Oryctolagus cuniculus: one gene and its partners. The protein of the gene in region 5 interacts with the protein of the main gene of each other region in a pairwise test. Links are inferred from orthologs where the notes say so. Each region holds a gene or a part of one and is shown on either strand. Other genes may lie near its edges.

Region 1 (3,959 bases), on a different chromosome or scaffold from region 5:
GCAGCACAGGGAAGTTCTCAGCTTATATCACTCCTATCCTGTGAGGATGGAAGCAGCTTGCTGGAGCGACAGGTGCACACTCTTGGAGTGACAGGTGCACCCTCAGATCCTTGGCAACAACATCATCTGCATTATCTCCAGATACTCAAGCTTGGGGGACAGACTGACATGCCAGCGAGTATGGAAGCCACAAGGAACACATCACTGAGAGAGGGGACAGGGAAGGTGTTCCCCACAATGTAGGAAGCACTTCCACAAGGGGGAATCAAATAAATAAGTGAGTACGCCAAGCCATACATAGGAAGCCAGCAACCAGCATTCCCCAGAACTAACCAGCCCCACAGATGCAGCCACAGGACTTACAGACACGCATCCTGAGCCTGTTCCCAGTGACTCTTGGCCACAGCTTCTCTGAGTCTCACATAATCAACGTGACCCAGCCCAGCTCTCTTTGGAAACAGAAGAACCTAAAAGCCAGCCTGTGAAACATACTAATAGATTTTTGTCCCCCTTGGCACTTATGCACCTAGTTTTTACTATGTTCATTTTCATTCACTCAACTTTGTTTTTTTCCCCCATGTTTCCTACATGTATCCCAATTCTCCCTTAGTCTTGGGCTTTCTAAGGACAGGGGCTTTTCTTCCTCTGTGCTGCACAAAGAATAAACACATTTAATAAATGATGCTGAATGGTTCTGCTTGGGGCAGCAGTTGGATGCCACGTGGGCCACCTGCAGCCTGCACCATGGCGCCTGGGTTTCCGTCCCAGCTCTGCTCCAGGCCAGCTTCCTGCTAATGCACGCTGTGGGAGGCAGCAGGTGACTGCTTCAAGCATGTGGATACCAGCCACCCATGCGGGAGACCCAGACTGAGTTCCTGGATCCAGGCTCCGGCCTGGCCCAGCCCAGCTATTGCAGGCAGACAGGGACTGAACCAGCAGATGTTATTTCTCTTTCTGCCTTTCATATTTAAAAAAAAAATTCCCTGCCTTTCATAGTTGTATTTCCTTTAAAAAAAAAAAAAAGAAAAAAAAAAGGCTCTCCTCATGGTTAAACTGTCTCCACTGCTAGCTTCTTCCTCCTGAGTTCTGGATCTGGAAGAGCTACCACAGCCTCTCCTCTGCTGACACGAAACACGTGTGTTCTTCCTCAAACTTCTTTTGTTCTGATCAGGTCCGTTATCTAACATCTCCAAATAATCTTCCTGGCTCCTTGCCCAATGGCTGTAAGAAGTATTCCTCTATACTTCAAAGTCTAGTTCTTGGGAGGATACTCATGAACATGTAGAAAGCCTATTTTCTTTATCTGGAGTGCTCATGCATCATGGCTCACTGCTATGGATGAGAACCCAAGGCCTAGTGAACTAAGTCATCAGTGCCAAATGGAATTGTTCTATTTCAGTTTAAATATCTAAAGGCCCAAGGACCGGGGCTTTGCACACAGGTCTCGTTAGCGGTAATCCTACTGGCTTGACTCTCGCTCCTGGCTCTGCTCCTCGGCGGCTGTGAGGCCAGGAAGGCCTATGCAAGCTGTGCAGCCTGGGGTTGGCATACCCGCTTATTGCTGTGGCTTTGCAGACCAGGGGAAGGGCCTGTGTTGGGGGAGGAGTCCTGAGGCAGCACAGTGTCTTACCGCATCAAACTCCGCTTGATCATCCTCAGGTAGGTCGCTGGTTTCATACACATCTGGCTCGTTCCTGGCCTGCAGGCAGAAGCAGGGACCACCCAGCCTCACTACCCAGCACCCATCAGCACCTCCATCCCCACTCCCATTTGAACGAGCTAACGGTGAAGGCAGGCTATGATGCCAGGATCCTGTCCCTTCTCCTCCACCTGCACTGTCAACAGCGTGTCTGTACCCCGATCTCCGAGTAATGGGGATGACAGTGGGCACAACTGGGAGCTGAGCGTAAGTGTTAGTGATAACAAACCCTGATTCTGGAGGGGGGCACGTCCGAAGGAGGTGAGGGCTATCCTCGAATTAGGCCCTGTACATCACTACCCTGGCTGAAGAGTTACAGTGACTCAGGACCCAGCACTCTACCTCCTGTGCCCCACCCCCAAGAACTCAGGCCGGGCAGCACAAAAGCCAACGCGTGCATGTAGGTAGGGGGGGCGCCGGCTTCCCGAAGGCCAGACCTCCCCATGTGACACAAGAAGGGGTTCTGCCACAGGAACCTCTTCCTTGGCAGGTTTATGACCACAAGGGGCCTGGTGTTGTGTGTCGGGGCTAGGGACGGGGGTGGGGGGGCTCATGGGGAGGTCTGCAGAGGCACGGGCGGGGTTGACACAGATGGTAAAAACAAGGGTACAAGTGGTAAGCGTCCGGAGACGATTTCTGGGCCGAGAAGCCGGCGGCTGCTGGAAAGGGGGCCTGGTGGGCTGTCCGAAAACCCGGCCTGGCTCCGGCCGGGTCAGTGGTCCGGGGAGGTGCTGCGGCCGGCTGGAGAGCAGCGGCGGGAGCCCTCGGGGCTGAGGAGGGGCGGCAGGCGGGAGGGGTCGCGGGTAGGTTTCTGTTGGGGGTCCCTGGGAGGTCGGGGCCGCGGTCCTAGGGAACCGGGGCCGGCCCTGTACTCACAATGCCGGGAAGGTCGGCGTATTTAGGGTCCGCCATGGCGGCGGCGAGGCGGGGCTGGGGGACCGGGGCCTCGGCGAAGCCGGGGCCGGTGACCGGGTAGGGGAGAGGCTGGGTCCGGGTCCCCGGCTAAGGCGGCGGCAAAGGGAGCGGCAGAGGCGCAGGAAGTCTCGCGACAAAAGCACAGTAGAAGGGTAAAGCAAAAGTCGCGAGAGCAGCCCGCGACCACACCCCTGGAGAGGCAGGGATTGGCGAAAACGAGGCCAGGCGATGAGGTAATGGCCAGGGGACGCCGCCTAGGATTGTGGGATGTGTAGTCTGGGTCCCCCGCGTCGGGGCGGGGACCGGCCCTAACGCACCTGGAGGAGCTCCATCACACAGCTGCTTGCTTTTATTGCTACAGCAGGTCTGTGAATAACGTTTACAGCTGCTGTGTTGGCCTCCCAGAACCTGCCTATAGAAAACCACACAGCTAGTCCTGCTGTGTAGCATAGCCCTGGCTTCAGAAACAATAGCAAGAAGTAACATTTCCTAAGTGCTTAGTGCATGTTTGTTAGGAACGGAAAAGTTAAGCAACCTTTGCCAATTAGGACTGGCAGATAAGATACGGGGCGCCCAGTTACATCTGAATTTCAGGTAAACAATAGGCCATTTGTGTTGTTTTTCTATGAGTATATTCTATGTCATATACTGGCACAAAGAAATTATTATTTACCGGAAATTCAAATTTAAGTGGGCATCTTGGTTTTGTGCTTTTCAAACCTGGCAATCCTACAGAAGTTCAGGAAAGGATAAGTGGTGCTTCCATGTTTGAACACTGTGTTCTTGATCACTTGGCCAACAGTTCCTGGACTTTTGAATGTCATGGTCCGGTAAAATTAAAACAACAAGCCTTTTTTGAGGGCAGACATAGCATTGCTGTCTTTTTATTTTACTAAGTAAGGACATTACAGACAGAAAAACCTACTATCTATCTGTTATCACCATCATCATTCAATAAAAAGTAGGAAGGGCAGGCTCTCAGAATAAAAGACAGCCCTTTGAGACATAACAAATCATGTAGTTTTTGAGGGCATGTGACCAGTGACCCCCCCACACCATGGACTGGCGATCTGAAGCCCCTTCACTAAGGATGCCACCTTGGAGCCCCTGGGATGTTTCCTGAACTTGCCAGATGCTGCAACACGGAGAATCAGTGCCAAACCAAGTGACTGGAGAGTTCCTGAATTTGGAATCACTGTCATTCTCTTTGCGGGCTCCTGCCCAAGCCTCTGCTTCCTCTCCAGAGTCCTGCTGCCCTGCCATCCGTTCCTCAGGCCAGACCCCTTTCCTGCAGCTCCCTGAAGATTCAAGAGGGGTTGGCAGTGTTCTGAGCGCTTCTGTCTCG
Region 2 (3,515 bases), about 38 Mb from region 5:
TTCCACAGAAGATCTCTACAACATAGTAGGTCTCTGGACTGATACTGAGAAGACCCAAGTTGTTATCTTGGCTAGATCAGTTCTTTGTAGTGTGATCCCAGGGAATTCACTCAATATCTGTAATTGTCAGAAAAGAAAAAAAAAAAAAGACTAGCAGATCCTTACAATGCTAACATTCTGTTTCCACCAAGTAGACATGTGGCTACAGCAGCATTTTTCTAACCTCTAGAATCTAAAAGTCAGACAAAAAAAATCAGTTGTAGCAAATAACCACAGTTTGGGACAGGAGAATAAAATGGTCAAATTCAACAGAGATGCAAAGATGTGTGATAAACACAGGCATCAGAACAGTGCAGAGGCTTGGCAGGAGCTTGGGTTCAAAAATGAGCAATGGGAACTATTAATTCCACATTCAGGCTGCCGGGAAGGGAAGTTTACACACAGCAACCAGTTAAAGCCCACTGATAGGTCAAACCTCTGACCAGAGCTTGGCACCTTGACAAGAAGGGCAAGGGGAAGCCCTGTTTCCTGAGACATATAAGGTTCTGATTATTTCACGGGCTTTTATGCCCACTAAAGCAATGCCAACCATGAAGTCCCCTGTCCCTGCTCCTCCTGATGCATCTGTCTGCAAGTGTATTTATATGTGTATATCTGCTTTGGCTTTACAGCTTCTCTAAACAAAGGCAGGAGGTGCCAGGAAAATTCTCTTCCAAAGTAGGCAGCTGCTGGGTGGCTGCTATGGTTGAGAATAATCATCCACAGTCTCTGGCTACAGGTGGAAAAACCCACAGAGAATTACCACGTACAAATTTCCTTTGCTTTATGACAAGACAGAGATAGCCATTGGCTAGCCTGGTCAAATATATCTCACATAGATTAAAAAGCTACTTTAGAATCTAGTAGCCCAATTTGTGTCAAACACTGTAATAAGCATATATATCCCTTATTTACTACTCAGAGACTCAAGAAGTTACCACTAATATTAACTGCACTTAGCGGATAGACAAATGGAGACTCAGAGAGGTCAAGTTCAAAGTCACAAAGTTCTTAAGTTGCTCCACTGGATTTACATCCAGGAGAGTCCGATTCTGAACTTCCAGGTAAGATGTGTTCACAGGCCCTGGGCAAGAAGCCTGAGCTGGTAGTCCACAGTTCCCAGGGTTGGGACATCACAGGCCCAGGAAGTCTGCAGCAAGCAGCAGGTAACAATCAGTGCTTTCAGAGTATCTGGAGCTTTCAAACACGGCACACGTAAGAGTTATCTGACTTCTCCACTGCAAAACCTATTCCCCTTCAACCCACTGATCCAAGCCCAAGCTGACAGACAGTCACGGGATGTAAGCTCTAAGTCTCTGCCCGGCCTCTGTTTCCTTATTTGTAAAATAAAGGCCTGGACTAAGGCAGGGCTCCCAATAACCGCTGTGACAGTCTGACCCTAGGGAAGAGAAGAACCTTCAACATCCTGACTAAGGTTGCCTTAAAAGTCAACCTGGTTTTACCTCCCACTTTGGAAAGCTGAAAACCACTCCTTAAAATTCCCCCATTAGTGAACCTGAGCCCGCTATGGGAAACACAGGACAGGAAGACTGGAATACTACCCTCTTCCACCGCACTCCCCAGAACTTAACACCATGCTCACAGGAACCTCCCAACTGTTTTTGTCCCAAATGCTCAGGGAGCCTTTACGTATTCTAAGATGTATGACGGATTGTTTGTTTTCTTTTATTCTCATAGCAAGCTGTTCTGGGCTCTTTGCCAAAGACTCACTATCTTTGTGCAGTTCCGTGTGAATAGGACTTTTCCTTATGCAGTGGTCGCCATCCGAGAAAATAAAGAAAAGCAGCACTGATTATGTGAGAAGCAGCAAGGCTCATGTTTGTAGCACTGCGGCACTAGCACGAAGACTCGTGCCTCTCTGATGGCAAAGGAGGTGCAGACTTGTTCTTGTGGGTGGCCCTGAACTGATGTCACATGACAGGTCCCTTTTTCTCCCACCAGGACATGCTTCAGTGTCACAGAAACCATCTTGCCCTGATGCTACTCCACAATTGGACATTCTGCCCTTTAGGTCCTTAATAGTGCCCTATCAAAATGGGAAAAAAAGTTAAAAAAAAAAAAGACAAAAATTCAAATGCTTTCCAAATTTTCATTCTGGAATAACTAGTGATAATAGGGTCCTCCAGGAAAAAAGGGTGTGATCACAGTCCAGTTCAGAAGTGAGAGTCATAATCCATTACAAGAAGTATCACAGCAGAGACCCTCCCACCAACAGCAGGGGAGACTGCAACAGACACAAGATGCAGACTGAGTTTATCATGGGTCCGGGTTGGCCAGTGGGAATGGAGTCGATGCCTGCCAAGCAGGCAACCCAGAAAGAAGGAACGCAGCCCAGGAATATCCACACAGCTCTGACACAATCTGCTCTTACATCCAACCCCAGGTGCTTACCCGGTACTTCTTTTCCTGTTCAAATTTTTCTTCAAATTTCCGAATTTTCCGCTTGAGGCTCTGGATGTGCTTGGTGAGCTGGGTAATGGTCTGTGGCTCCTTGCTATCACCACAGCTGCCCCGGGAAGAACTTCGGGGCCTGCAGGAGGCACAGAAGGGAAGAGCGTCAAAAACAGTGGTCTTGGGTGGGCATTGGGCACAGCAGTTAAGACATGGCTTGGGATGCCTGCATCCCATATCACAATGCCTAGTTCAAGTGCCAGCTTCTGTACTTCCCATCCAGTTTCTTGCTAACAGGAACCCTGGGAAGGCAGCAGATAATGGCTCAAGTAGTTGGGTCCTTGCCACTGAGGCAGGAAATCTAGATGGAGTTCTGGGCTCCTGGCTTTGGCTTTCTTGTAGGTATTTGGAGGGTGAACCAGCATATGCAAGATCTCTATCTCCTCTCTGTGACTTTCCCTTTCAAATACATAAATCTTTTTCAGAAGGCTTCTCTGTCTCTCTGCCTTCCAAATAAAATGAAAACAAACAAACAGTCTTTGAGGACACATGGCTGCTTGGTCTACAAACCAAAGATTATCACAAAGTGCAGAGATAACTTGTTCATCACGTGATGAGGTTATCATGGTTGCATCTGCTCAATAAAGGAGACCTCTGATCACAACGTGTTTGTGAGCAGATGTTGGCATAGACTCTAGTGCACAAATATATATATATATATATACATATATATATATATGTGTGAAATTTGAAGAGGGCTATTAAAGCTCTCACTTTTTCATAATCGTAAAACACACAGAGGTTAACAAGTATCTAGCGTTCCCACAACCCATGCTTGGCTGCTACCACTGGACATGGGCGAGAGTCTGGGTTCATCAGGAATGACAGTCCTGCCATTTACATGTACCTACAAGGGTACTTTACCGAGTTTGTAGAAAATGCACATTGGTGCAAAAACAATTTTCAAATCTCTGCTTAGTTTTCCCCTAACTCTCATTCCCATGAATTTTTTGACAATCCCTAGCATACATGCTTATACACCAACTCAGGGTACTAGTCATTTC
Region 3 (4,197 bases), on a different chromosome or scaffold from region 5:
GGAGCTACTCCAACCCTGGGAGCTGCCCGGGATCAACACGACCCACGTGCAGTCAGCTGCAGGCTGCACGCCACTCCTTCACACACACCTGGAGTCGGACGTTGATTAAATATAAAAAGGGTGAGAACAAATACACACGGACCCATGATCGCATCAAGAAGCTGCTCTCTGCAGAAGTACACGAGAGGGGACTTTCGGGAGGCTGCTGCCAGGACCGAGAGGGTTAAAGCTATGGCTTAGGGAAGCACCCAAGTGAGCTGTAGGAAGGCATTTGTAGAGTAGACTCTGCAGCATCAAAGGATGATTTTCTAAAGGAGGCGAATGCTTTCTCAGTTAACCTAAATTCTGAGGCTTTCCGTAGCTGAGGGCTAGAAACAAGATCCAAAGAAAAGAGCCATGTTCAACGTCTAAGGAAGGTGACTGCCGTTAGGCTCGTGATGCTAAATGGTCCAAAAAGCCTTTGGTGGTGTGATATGGACAAGGAAAAAAATACACAAACCACATAACACCATTAAAACCAAAAAACATTTTTTTTCATTTAAAAAAGTATTTAGAACACATAAAACAAGGCAACATCTATTCTTTTTTCTCATCTTCCGGTATGGGGTCTGTCGGCGGCTCCTCCACCGTGGCACTGTTGCTCTCCGAACCGGTGTTACTGTCACTGGTTCCTTCCTCGGCCAGACTGTCGACCCCCTCCTGCCCACTCTCCTTGTCCTCGGGAGTGGACGTGCCTTCTTCGCCATTCTGCTGGCTCTCTGTCGTTTCTTCCAGGTGCGTCTCCTCTGTAATCACACATGTGTCACCGTCAGTTCCAGACACACATGGGCCCTCATCACGCTGACAGCACGCGGCTGTGCTGCCCAGGAGGGCAGGTAACAGGCACCTGAGATGAGCCAGGGCTACGGAGGAATTTCTAGCATGTGCAGAATGATCCTGGGCGTGGAAAGCCACTCTCTAACCAGAAATTTCTGCTACGTGAATACAGATTAACTTACTTCTGACGAAAATTAAGCTGCTGAACTGAGCTGTGCTCTAAGTGTAAAATACACACAGGATTTCAAAGACTTAGAATACAAGAAAAGTAAAAAAGGTTAATTTTGTTTAAAATGTTGATTACATATTGAATGGTATTATTTAGAAAATACACATACATAATTATCTGTTAAAGATACTTTCATCTGACTTGACTTTTAAAAACGTCACTAGTAGAAAACTTTAAGTACGTATGTAACTCCCATTGTATTTCCGCTGGACAGAGCGGGCTTTGGATTAAATGCGGAGCAAGCCGACGTGGGAAGAATGAGGCTGGAATCTCGGACACGAGACAGAAGTCCTGGGCTGTCTTCTGCAAGACGTTCAACAGCACGAGGTTTCTGCTCTAACGGTCCCTGATAATTTTCCTCAGTTTTCCTTCGAAGCTAGACAGCCAGAACCCAAGTGAAGCCCTAGGCGTTTTGACACGGCTCACTGACAGATGACCAAACAGGCAGGGGCCGGGCGCCCTATCTAGCTGGAACATGAGCAGAGAACCTTACCCTCACTCTCAAACTCTCGCTTTAACCACAACAAAATGCTCATGCTCCCGACGTGCCGAGCTGAAGGTGCTCGCACGGAACAGAAAGGAGGGCAAACAGGAGCTGCCCGCTTGGACGGCCCGACTGGGCAGGAGCTGGGCCGGGACCAAGCCCTGCCACTGCTTCCCTTCCCACCTCCTGCTAATGTGCAACCCGTGGGCAGCAGACCAGGCCCCCGAAGAGCACCTGGGCCCCTGCCCTAGTGCGCAAAATGCAGACAGAACCCTGGCCCCCGGCTTCGGTCTGGCCCAGACCTGGCTGTTGTGGGCATCTGGGAGTAAATCAAAGGAAGAAATCTCTCTCTGCCCTTCAAATAAATAAAAATAAACATTTAAAGCCCTCCCAAGCATTAATCTGGTGAATCAAGCTTTTCAGAAACACCTCCTGGAGATCCACATTCTGGGCTGGTGCCGTGGTGCAGAAGGCAGGTAAGCCCAAGCCTGCAACGCGGCCCAGGTTCAAGTCCCGGCTGCTCCACTTCTGATCCGGCTCCCATGCTAATGCACCTGGGCCCCTGCACCCACGTGGGCGACCTGGAGGAAGCTCCTGGTTCCTGGTTTGAGCCTGGCATAGTCCTGGACATTTAGGGAGTGAACCAGCAGATGAAGATCTCTCTCTCCTTCTCTCTCTGTATTTCTGCCTTTCAAATAAATAAATTTTTTTTTTTCAAAAAAATCTATGTTCCATTAAGTGTTTCCCAGGCGTCTGTCAGCTTAATGCAAAGTACGGCTGCAGAGCCTCCGCCTGCAAAGACCGTGCAGGGAACTCCTGGCTGTTTCCCATGCCTTCCTTCCGCTCAGGCCTGTGTACAGGGGGCACTAGGCAGGGTCAAAGCAGTGCCAACAAGGGAGGTAATCGCAACACTTGAAGTAATAATCCATGTAAGCCGGACTAATTTACCAAAGATGGCCATGTTATTTGTTACCCCCCGAGATTTGTTACCAGGACAATCAGTGCCCCTGAAGTAAACTTTTCTAGGCTGGGGCCTGTCACCTTCTGGCGATGGCTACCTGGTGGCTGTGTCCAGCTTTGTGGCCCAGGGAGGCTCTGCTGCAACTCAGTGCTCTGCCGCCGCCACACAGCCGCAGACGACATGGGGACAATGGGACGGCTGTGTCCAGTAAAGACCCATTGGTGAAAACCAGGGGGCAGGCAGGATCTGGTCTGCAGGGTCTACTCTGCTGAAGGTGGTCCTACACAGCAAAGACAGTCTTAAGAGTGGTAACTGTGGGGGCTGGCACTGTGGCGTAGCTGGTACATCCATCGCCTGCAGTGCTGGCATCCATATGGGTGCCGGTTTGAGTCCTGGCTGCTCTGCTTTTTTTTTTTTAAAGATTTATTTATTTATTTGAAAGTCAGAGTTACAGGGGGGGGGCCTTCCATCTGCTGATGCACCCCCAATTGGCCACAAATGGCCGGAGCTGTGCCAATCAGAAGCCAGGAGCCAGGAGCTTCTTCCAACCAAGATGCCGGCACTGCAGGTAGTAGCTTTACCTTCTACACCACAGCACTGGCCCCAGCTGGCTGCTCCTCTTCCGATCTAGCTCTCTGCTATGGCCTGGGAAAGCAGTAGAAGATGGCCCAAGTCCTTGGGCCCTTGCACCTGCATGGGAGACCCAGAAGAAGCTCCTGGCTCCTGATAGGCCCAGCTCCGGCCGCTGAGGCCATCTGGGAGGTGAACCAGCAGATGGAAGACCTCTTTCTCTGCTTCTGCCTCTCTGTAACTCTGAAAAGTGCTAACTACTGCTTAAACAGTATTAGCACTAAGGGTTAAAATACTGCACGCTAGCTCTGTACCAGATCCAGGAGCAGATCTCTGCAGGCGGCTGCTAGGATGCTTCGAGTGAGGAGGCCGCAGTGGAGTAACTCACCCAAGCTGCAGGGCTGGCCGGCAGGGACGCAGTCCCAGACCTGATCTCATTCCAGAGCCGGTGCCCTCAACTGCTCTCCCATTCCACTTTGTATTCCCAAGCCAGACTGGGGACCCCCAAGGCCTCTGATCCCACACAGCAGACAACCCTCCACTGCCATTCTTCAGTGACCCCAACCTTCCAAGTGCAGCCACCAGAGACCAAGAACGTGGGACGAACCACGTGACCTTGGGGGCTGTTTGGAAGGAAAGACCGGCCGCGGCCTGACCCTCGTGGTGCGGCTGGCAGCGTACCCGTCTCCATTGGAATGCTCTCGTCGTCCTTCTTGTCCTCGGCTTTGCTGGCTGCGTGCTCCTCCTCGGGAATGCCGCTGCCCTGGGCGCGCTCCGCTTGCTCCGCTGCCTCCTTCTCCCTCTCCTCTTGCCTTTTGCGGGCCTGCTCCTCTGCCTGTGCGATTTCAGCTGCGATCTTCTCCATATCCACTTCTACCTTCAAACCGCACAACTAGCAGTCAGAGAAGAGAGAACTTTAGTAATGCCCTTTCCTTATCATTTCTGAGCCAGAGAAATCATTTCAAAGTGGGTGTTCCTTGCCTACGCAATCACACGTGGGTATTTCAAAAAGTTCAGAAACACAGAATTAAAAAATAAATTTTGATGTACTTTAAGAATTTTATTTATTTATATGAAAGGCATAGTGTTAGAAGGAGAGGCAGAGGGAGAGAACGAGGGATTTTTCAATTGTTGGTT
Region 4 (3,389 bases), on a different chromosome or scaffold from region 5:
GCCCCCAGCAGCCCGCAAAACGCCCGGGAAGCGCAGTACCTGAGAGAGAGGTGGGCCGAGCACGGGACCCCGGACCCAGGAGCAGCAGTAGCCCCACCCACAGGCCTGTGGGCGAGGGGCCGGGCCCCCTTTTCTGGAAGCCCATGAGAGGTCACCTCGGCCTCCGCCCTGGTGCTAGGAACCCCAGCATCTCCTCGGCGTGGCCGCGGTTGCAGACAGAATACAAGATCAAAGCCGCCAGGCCGTGGGCCCACAACCCTGCTGGAGCTGCCCTGTCCCAGGCTTCTGGAGAGAGATGAAAGGGACCGGGTTTGTGTCTCTCGGTGGAATTCGCGCCTGAGGTTTTCTGGGCGCAAGGGGGACCGGCCCGGAATGGAGGGTGAGCGAGAAGTGGGGCCGTGAGCCCCCAGGACAGGCACCAGGAGCTGGGTGAGCTCCTTGCCACCTGTTCTGCAGCTCCCTGGCTGCCCGTGGAAGCCCTGGGAGTTCTCACCCCTCTCTTTCAGCCCCCAGGGACCCCAGCTCCCTCCCTGTGCAGCGTAGCAACCAGCAAGACTACATGGAGACCAAGGGTGAGCCCTGCTTGGTAACCTTTCCCCTGAGCCTCACCAGCCCAGCCGCCCGCCTAAACAGAAGTTCCCAATCCGACTGGATGGCGCGTGGCCACCAGGCAACTCCATGTCACCGAGAGGCTCTCTGGGGGTCCCCAGGTGCCTCGAACCCCTCCTCCCTCATACCTGCCATTTCCAGAAGCCCCGTGGCCACCAGCTGGCTGAGTTCGGTGTCTTTCCAGTGCCTACCCGGGGCCTCACAGCGTCATGCTCCCAGGACAACAGGGACAAACACCTGCCACCCTCCGCCCCCCCCCCGGGGGGGGTGCCGAGGCAGGTGCCTGGGGACTGGAGCAGGAGGCGCCCTAATGGCTTTCCACAGCCAACACCAATTCTGTTCCAGCGCCAAGAACCAGGGCAGTTCCTGTAGAAACATTGCTGCGGCTGGGCCGGGCTCCCAGGGCAGCCTGAGCTTCCCAGAAGGTCAGGCCCTCGGGCTTCCTGGCTCATCCTTGCGGGGAGAACTGTTTTCCCAGCACCTGGAGATCGCTTAGTCTTTCCTGGTGGAAACCGGCTGGGTGGAGTGCCCCAGGCTCCGCACACTGTGAGGCTACTTTTTTTTTTTTTTTTTCATATCTTTCCACTGACTGTGGGCTCCCAGGGAGCCACGCTACGCTTTTCGTATAACCCAGCAGGACACGCCGAGCCGGGCGCTGCTTCCCGCCCCGTGGTCCTGTGTGCCCAGGCTGTCAGCCCCAGGCCCACTCTTAGCTGGCTGCAACAATGAGGGCCTCCGCGGCGCCAGGGGGCGCTCTAGACGCCCGCGAGCGCAGTGGCCAGCCCCACCCGCGCCATGGGCTCCGAGGCCGCACAGCTGCTGGAGGCCGCAGACTTCGCGGCTCGCAAGCACCGGCAGCAGCGCCGGAAGGACCCCGAAAGGACACCCTACATCAACCACCCGATCGGTGGGCGCGCCCGGCCGGGGAGCAACCGTCGCGGCGCCTGGGGGCGGGGGCTGGGGGGGGACCCGGAAGGGGTCGCGGGGGCCGTGCGCTTCCTTGAGCGCCCACTTTGTGCCAAGCGCTGTGCAGGCAGCGTCCGTGCGGCAGGCCAGGTGGGCCGCACTGCAACCCGGCGCAGTAAGCGTGACTGCTCCCTTCGCACGGTTGACACCCAAGCAGGGTAAAGGACTTGCCCAGGGTCGCCCAGCCTGTGAGGGGGTCTCTATCTGGCTGCCCACGACCCCACAGCCGCCATCTCGCGGCTCCCTCCGGTCTCACTCATTGTTTTGCCCCCATCTCACCCCCCACCCCCACCCCCATCCCAATCCGCCCGCCAGGTGTGGCTCGGATCCTGACCCATGAGGCGGGAATCACTGACATTGTGGTGTTACAGGTAACTGCCCCACTTCTCAGGAGGGTTCAGGCCCCCCACACACACACACCCTCAGCAATGGGCACCCCTGGACTGGCATCGCGTGGCTGAACGGGAGCCTGTCCCCAGGCGGCCCTGCTCCACGACACCGTGGAGGACACGGACACCACCCTGGACGAGGTGGAGCTGCACTTTGGGGCGCAGGTGCGGCGCCTGGTGGAGGAGGTGACAGATGACAAGACTCTGCCCAAGCTGGAGAGAAAGCGGCTGCAGGTGGAGCACGCGCCCCACAGCAGCCCGGGGGCCAAACTGGTGAAGCTGGCCGACAAGCTGTACAATCTGAGAGACCTCAAGCGCTGCACCCCGGAGGGTACGCTCCCCACCCCGCACTCCCCTGCTGGCCCTGGGGGAAGGGAGGGAGCAGCCCTCGGGAGGCCGCAGGTGGCTCCGCGGGTCCCACCCGCCACCCTCTGAGGTTTTCAGCACAGATCGCCCCATTGGGAGCTCGGGCCAGGGCCCTGCACCACACCTTCCCGGAAGTGGACAGCAGCTTCCTGTCCACTCTCGCGCAGGGTGGTCAGAACCTCGAGTGCAGGAATACTTCGAGTGGGCGGCGCAGGTGGTGAAGGGGCTTCGGGGAACAAACCGGCAGCTGGAAGAGGCCCTGGAGCAGCTGTTCAGCGAGCGTGGGCTGACGCTCTGAGCACCGGGGGCCAGGCCGCGTGCAGACCCCGGCTTTCGGGGCCTCCCCTTCTCCCTCCGCCCACGTACACTTGGTTCCCCCCTCTGCAGAGGCTCAGTTCTCCCCAGCGGGAGGCAGCTGTAGCCAGTCCGTTCCTAATGCACTCACTGCCTTTGCCCACGTCGAAGCCCTGAGATCGCTGGTCCCTCGGGGACGTGGGCTTGTTTACACTCTAGGTGATCAGCCACCAAGGAAAATAAAGCGTGTTGGGTAAAAGGAAGCTGCGGCTGCTCCTTCGCCTTGTCCGTGGCCTGCTCCCCCGGAGTGAGGGCCTCGCCCCTTCCAGCCTCCCTTCCCTAAGGGGTAGGTGGGTTGTATCCTTAGCAGGAAGCCTCCACCTTGGGAAAGTCGCGAGGGATGACGCATGGTTTGGAAAGGAGTGCCGCCCGCCCCCTGGCAAACCTCGCTGCCCACTGGGGAGACCCCAGCCGCCCCCACGACGGAGCCAGGAAACCGAGTCTCGCAGGCTCCTCCCCCGCGCAGCGGCGCTCCGGTTGCTAGGCGACGGGCAGTTCCGGCCCCGCCCCCTGCAGGCCTGGGGCGGGGCAGAGGTCGCCATCGCCAGCTGGTGGGGTTGGGTGGTGGCTGTGAAGCCGACCGAGGACAAGGAAACGTCGGAGGACAAGGAAACTTAGCTCAAAGGCCGCTGTGTGCTGGACCGCAGGACTGTTTTGCCCAGTGTAGGGCGAAAAGACGCGGAGCGGGAAGCTCCCGTGTAAACG
Region 5 (3,515 bases):
AAGAGGAGAGACATACACCAGTGGCAGGGGATGAGAAGAGGAAGACAGACAGAGATCTCCTAATCACTAGTTTATTCCCCAAGTGCCCGTAACAGCCAGGAATGGGCCAAGCCAGGAGCGGCGAGCAGGAGCAGAGCTGGGACTTAAACCCAGCCACTCTGATGCAGAATGTGGGAATCCCAGCACCATCTTAGCCACTACCCCAAATGCCCATACCCCAAGGAAACCTTTCAAGATGTAGATAATGAAGGCAAAATTATAGATCCATTTCAAAATCACTTACAAATAATAGTTTACATTTTATTAAATATCAATAAGGCATGGAAATAAGAATTTCCAAAAAAATTCTGGATAATGCAAAACCCTACATTTTTTTTCACAAAGCTAGATATTATCACATTTTTTTCCATTTTTTCTAAAAGATGTCAACTAATCATGAGCCACATTCAGAAACTAGCCATGTCATTCAAAATCAAGTTTGTAGATTTTGATTTTCAATATGTATATTTAATATCTTTAAATATATTTTCTTTAAATGTCGATTACATGTCGTCATATTTCTAATCTGGCTTTGTCAGTCAAAACTGATGCTCAGTTCGCTGGCTCTGACTCAAGAAAAAAGAATAAACAAAATCCATTATTTTCCCACATTCATAAATATGCGTAAAGTGTGAAAAGCATTAAAACAAACCAAGTTCTAAAATCCAGAAAATTTCAAAATCAGCTTCACTGTTTTTTAATGCAAATAATTCCTACATCACATCCCTGCCAATAGAATTATCTCAAACTATATTACTTTGTCAATTGATTTTAAATAGCACTTAATACTTTTCTGTAGATACTGAACAGTACTATCTGCCAATATGCATATGGATAATTTTCTGAAAGTACACCTAACTATATTAAAATACTTTTAAACACAGTTATTAAATGGATTTTTCTAAGTGGCTGGAGACTTACAAAGGTTTGGAGAAGCATATTCCTTTGGTTTGTAATTTCACTGCATTGTCTTTCTAAAGCATTTTCATGAGTTTTCAAAAGCTGTAAGAGGAAAGATTTTTCAGAAAACTGCTGAACCTTCAAAGTAAAAAGAAACAAAATGCAGAATGAAACAATTAGACATTTTATTTTAGAGTGTCTTAGTCAATAGAACAGATTTATAAAACACTTTCAGTATTAATTTTAACCTATAAAATAACATTCACATTAAATATCTTACTTTATATGCAGTATCATATAATATTTTATAAATGCCTTATTTTTACAATTTTATAATCTCTCCCCTTGGGAAGACTATCAGCTCCTCAAGGGCAAAGACCATGTTTCTCCACACCCAGCACAGTTCTTAGCTTAGGAACTAAGCTATTAGACTAAGCACACTGAAATCTACTTCAAAATAGTTTGTTCTAAAAAATAAGCTTCTATTCATATTACTTATAAGGAAGACATGGACAAATAAGTCATTTACACAATATGATTAGTAAGTTCATGAGATAAAACCTACAAACTACAGGCAAAAAAAAAATCAGCCACATGATTACATCAAATAACATACAAATCTGTTAATGCCCTTCAATACAGTTGGAGAACACATTTTTTAATGCCTCACATGGTTATAAATAACAAAGTATATAATAAATATTAATTTGTTCTTTAAAATATACTATCTCCTAAAACATAAAAATTGAAACATAAGCCAGGAAGCTTGAAAAGATAAAAACCAAAAATTATGTTGGACAGGTAATCTTTCTACTACATTCAGTACTATCCCTCAAAAAAAAAAAAAAAATCACTTCCAGTTGGGGTTGTTCCCATCTCTACAGAGAAAAGAAAAAGGATATAAATTCAACTTAAATTGCAGAAAGCAAGATTTATGTTGGTTATAAGAACTTCCTCAAGGTGAGAAACAGGTTGTGAAATCTCTGTCCCAGAAGATATTGAATAGTAAAGAGCTTAGCAATAGTCTAGTCCAGAGGCAAAGGGTTGGCTGAAAAGACATTTTGAAATATTATAGCTGAAAAATTCTAGAAATATTGGCATTAAAAAAGGAGCCAAAATAAAGCAGAAAATATGATCTTAGATTTATATAAGATCATAGCACATCTGCACACACCTTCAGTGCTGTTCTTACCAGCCCTATTTTAAGAAAGACATCAACAGAGAAAGATTAGAGAAGTACAATTTACATGACCAAAGGAACTGAGACAAACTGGGGGAGAAAAGATGGATTAGTCAGTATTTTACTGTGTAGCAAGGAACAAATTATAAAACATATGGCCAACTCTATAAAATCATATAGAAATTGACAAGGGCAGAAGAAGAGTATGATCACAAATTCTATTGTATTTATTTAGAATAAGAAAACTCTTTAGGACTACTTAGTGCTTATTATATAAATAAGGATAAAATGAAGTCCAAAGAAGTTAAATACTTCAACAAAGGTAACATACTAATTAGGAGCAGACCCAGAAATAAAATTCAGGGCTTCTGTCTTCCTTTCTTCTAAGCCATGAGATTATACGGAAATATTAGAATGATTTCAAAGTAAAAAAAAAAAAAAAAAGTAATTCTAGATCCTAAAAGGGACTTCAGCCTCTGATAATAGTATTTGAAAGTACGTAAGCTTAAGAAACATTTAGGAACATTGTGTCTCCTAGGGTCACCAGAGCTTATTAAGAAGGTTGTTTGCAGTAAACACCTCTAGGGTTACCACTTTGGACAGGAACCATGAATGCCCACAAAAATGCTTCAGAGACCAAATATTGGGCTGAATAAACTTTAGTTTAACTACTAAGGCATTTCAAGTATCCTGCCCTTCAGAACAAACTTCCTGAATTCTAATTCTCTTTCTGCCACTGATTTGTTATGAAAGATCTTTGTCAAAATCTAAAAGTGGGGGCCAGTGCTGTGGCTTAGTAAGTAAAACCACTACCTGCTGCGCCAACATCCCTTGTTGGTACTGATTCCAGTCCTAGCTGCTCCAGTTCCAAAGCAGCTCCCTGCTAATGTGCCTGGGAAAACAGTGGAAGACAGCTATTATGTCCATTTGGAGAGTGAACCAGAGGATGCATGATCTCTCTCTCCTTCACTCGCTCTCTGAAACTCTGCCTTTCAAATAAATCAATCTTTAAAAAAAATTCCAAAAGTGAAGAAAATATTACCTATCAAATAAACAAAATTTTAACTGAGACAAATTTATTAATAAAATTCAGAAAAATCTTCTGCTAAGGACTCAGAAATTAAGGTACTTGTTTCAGCTATCACTAACTCAGAGCTAAAATTACAGTGAGTTAAAATAACAAATATCCAAGAGAGGCAAATGTCATAAATAGCATTTAACTAAAACATTTTCTCATAAGTTGAAAAATAAAACCTATATACCAAAAATTAAAAAGTAGACAACTATTCAAAAGATTCATAAAAAGGACATGCCTATAATTTTCCTCTCCCCTAAAATTCTATGTAAATTATCCATTTTGTGGTCTTCCCTGTTTCTATTTTTAGTCTCTAAAAAT

What was found.
Region 1: the proteins of CCDC172 (region 5) and DCTN2 interact in binary tests that used the Homo sapiens proteins (3 or more experiments, as listed by UniProt). The two-hybrid records come from large-scale screens. The link is inferred for Oryctolagus cuniculus from reciprocal best matches to the Homo sapiens genes CCDC172 and DCTN2.
Region 2: the proteins of CCDC172 (region 5) and FAM13C interact in binary tests that used the Homo sapiens proteins (3 or more experiments, as listed by UniProt). The two-hybrid records come from large-scale screens. The link is inferred for Oryctolagus cuniculus from reciprocal best matches to the Homo sapiens genes CCDC172 and FAM13C.
Region 3: the proteins of CCDC172 (region 5) and SMARCE1 interact in binary tests that used the Homo sapiens proteins (3 or more experiments, as listed by UniProt). The two-hybrid records come from large-scale screens. The link is inferred for Oryctolagus cuniculus from reciprocal best matches to the Homo sapiens genes CCDC172 and SMARCE1.
Region 4: the proteins of CCDC172 (region 5) and HDDC3 interact in binary tests that used the Homo sapiens proteins (3 or more experiments, as listed by UniProt). The two-hybrid records come from large-scale screens. The link is inferred for Oryctolagus cuniculus from reciprocal best matches to the Homo sapiens genes CCDC172 and HDDC3.

The regions. Positions count from the first base shown.
Region 1 is NC_091442.1:60,157,700-60,161,658, forward strand, and holds the start of DCTN2 (dynactin subunit 2), read right to left. Parts: upstream 2,812-3,959; 5' UTR 2,612-2,811; coding exon 2,576-2,611; intron 1,700-2,575; coding exon 1,631-1,699; intron 1-1,630. UniProt on the Homo sapiens protein: Part of the dynactin complex that activates the molecular motor dynein for ultra-processive transport along microtubules. In the dynactin soulder domain, binds the ACTR1A filament and acts as a molecular ruler to determine the length.
Region 2 is NC_091446.1:51,729,271-51,732,785, forward strand, and holds part of FAM13C (protein FAM13C), read right to left. Parts: intron 2,591-3,515; coding exon 2,452-2,590; intron 1-2,451.
Region 3 is NC_091448.1:21,904,288-21,908,484, reverse strand, and holds the end of SMARCE1 (SWI/SNF-related matrix-associated actin-dependent regulator of chromatin subfamily E member 1), read right to left. Parts: intron 3,953-4,197; coding exon 3,742-3,952; intron 786-3,741; coding exon 577-785; 3' UTR 512-576; downstream 1-511. UniProt on the Homo sapiens protein: Involved in transcriptional activation and repression of select genes by chromatin remodeling (alteration of DNA-nucleosome topology).
Region 4 is NC_091443.1:100,334,236-100,337,624, forward strand, and holds HDDC3 (guanosine-3',5'-bis(diphosphate) 3'-pyrophosphohydrolase MESH1), read left to right. Parts: upstream 1-1,353; 5' UTR 1,354-1,404; coding exon 1,405-1,516; intron 1,517-1,890; coding exon 1,891-1,946; intron 1,947-2,054; coding exon 2,055-2,295; intron 2,296-2,497; coding exon 2,498-2,628; 3' UTR 2,629-2,887; downstream 2,888-3,389. Other genes in the region: protein shisa-like-1, read right to left, coding at 40-145. UniProt on the Homo sapiens protein: ppGpp hydrolyzing enzyme involved in starvation response.
Region 5 is NC_091446.1:13,984,193-13,987,707, forward strand, and holds part of CCDC172 (coiled-coil domain-containing protein 172), read right to left. Parts: intron 1,078-3,515; coding exon 961-1,077; intron 1-960.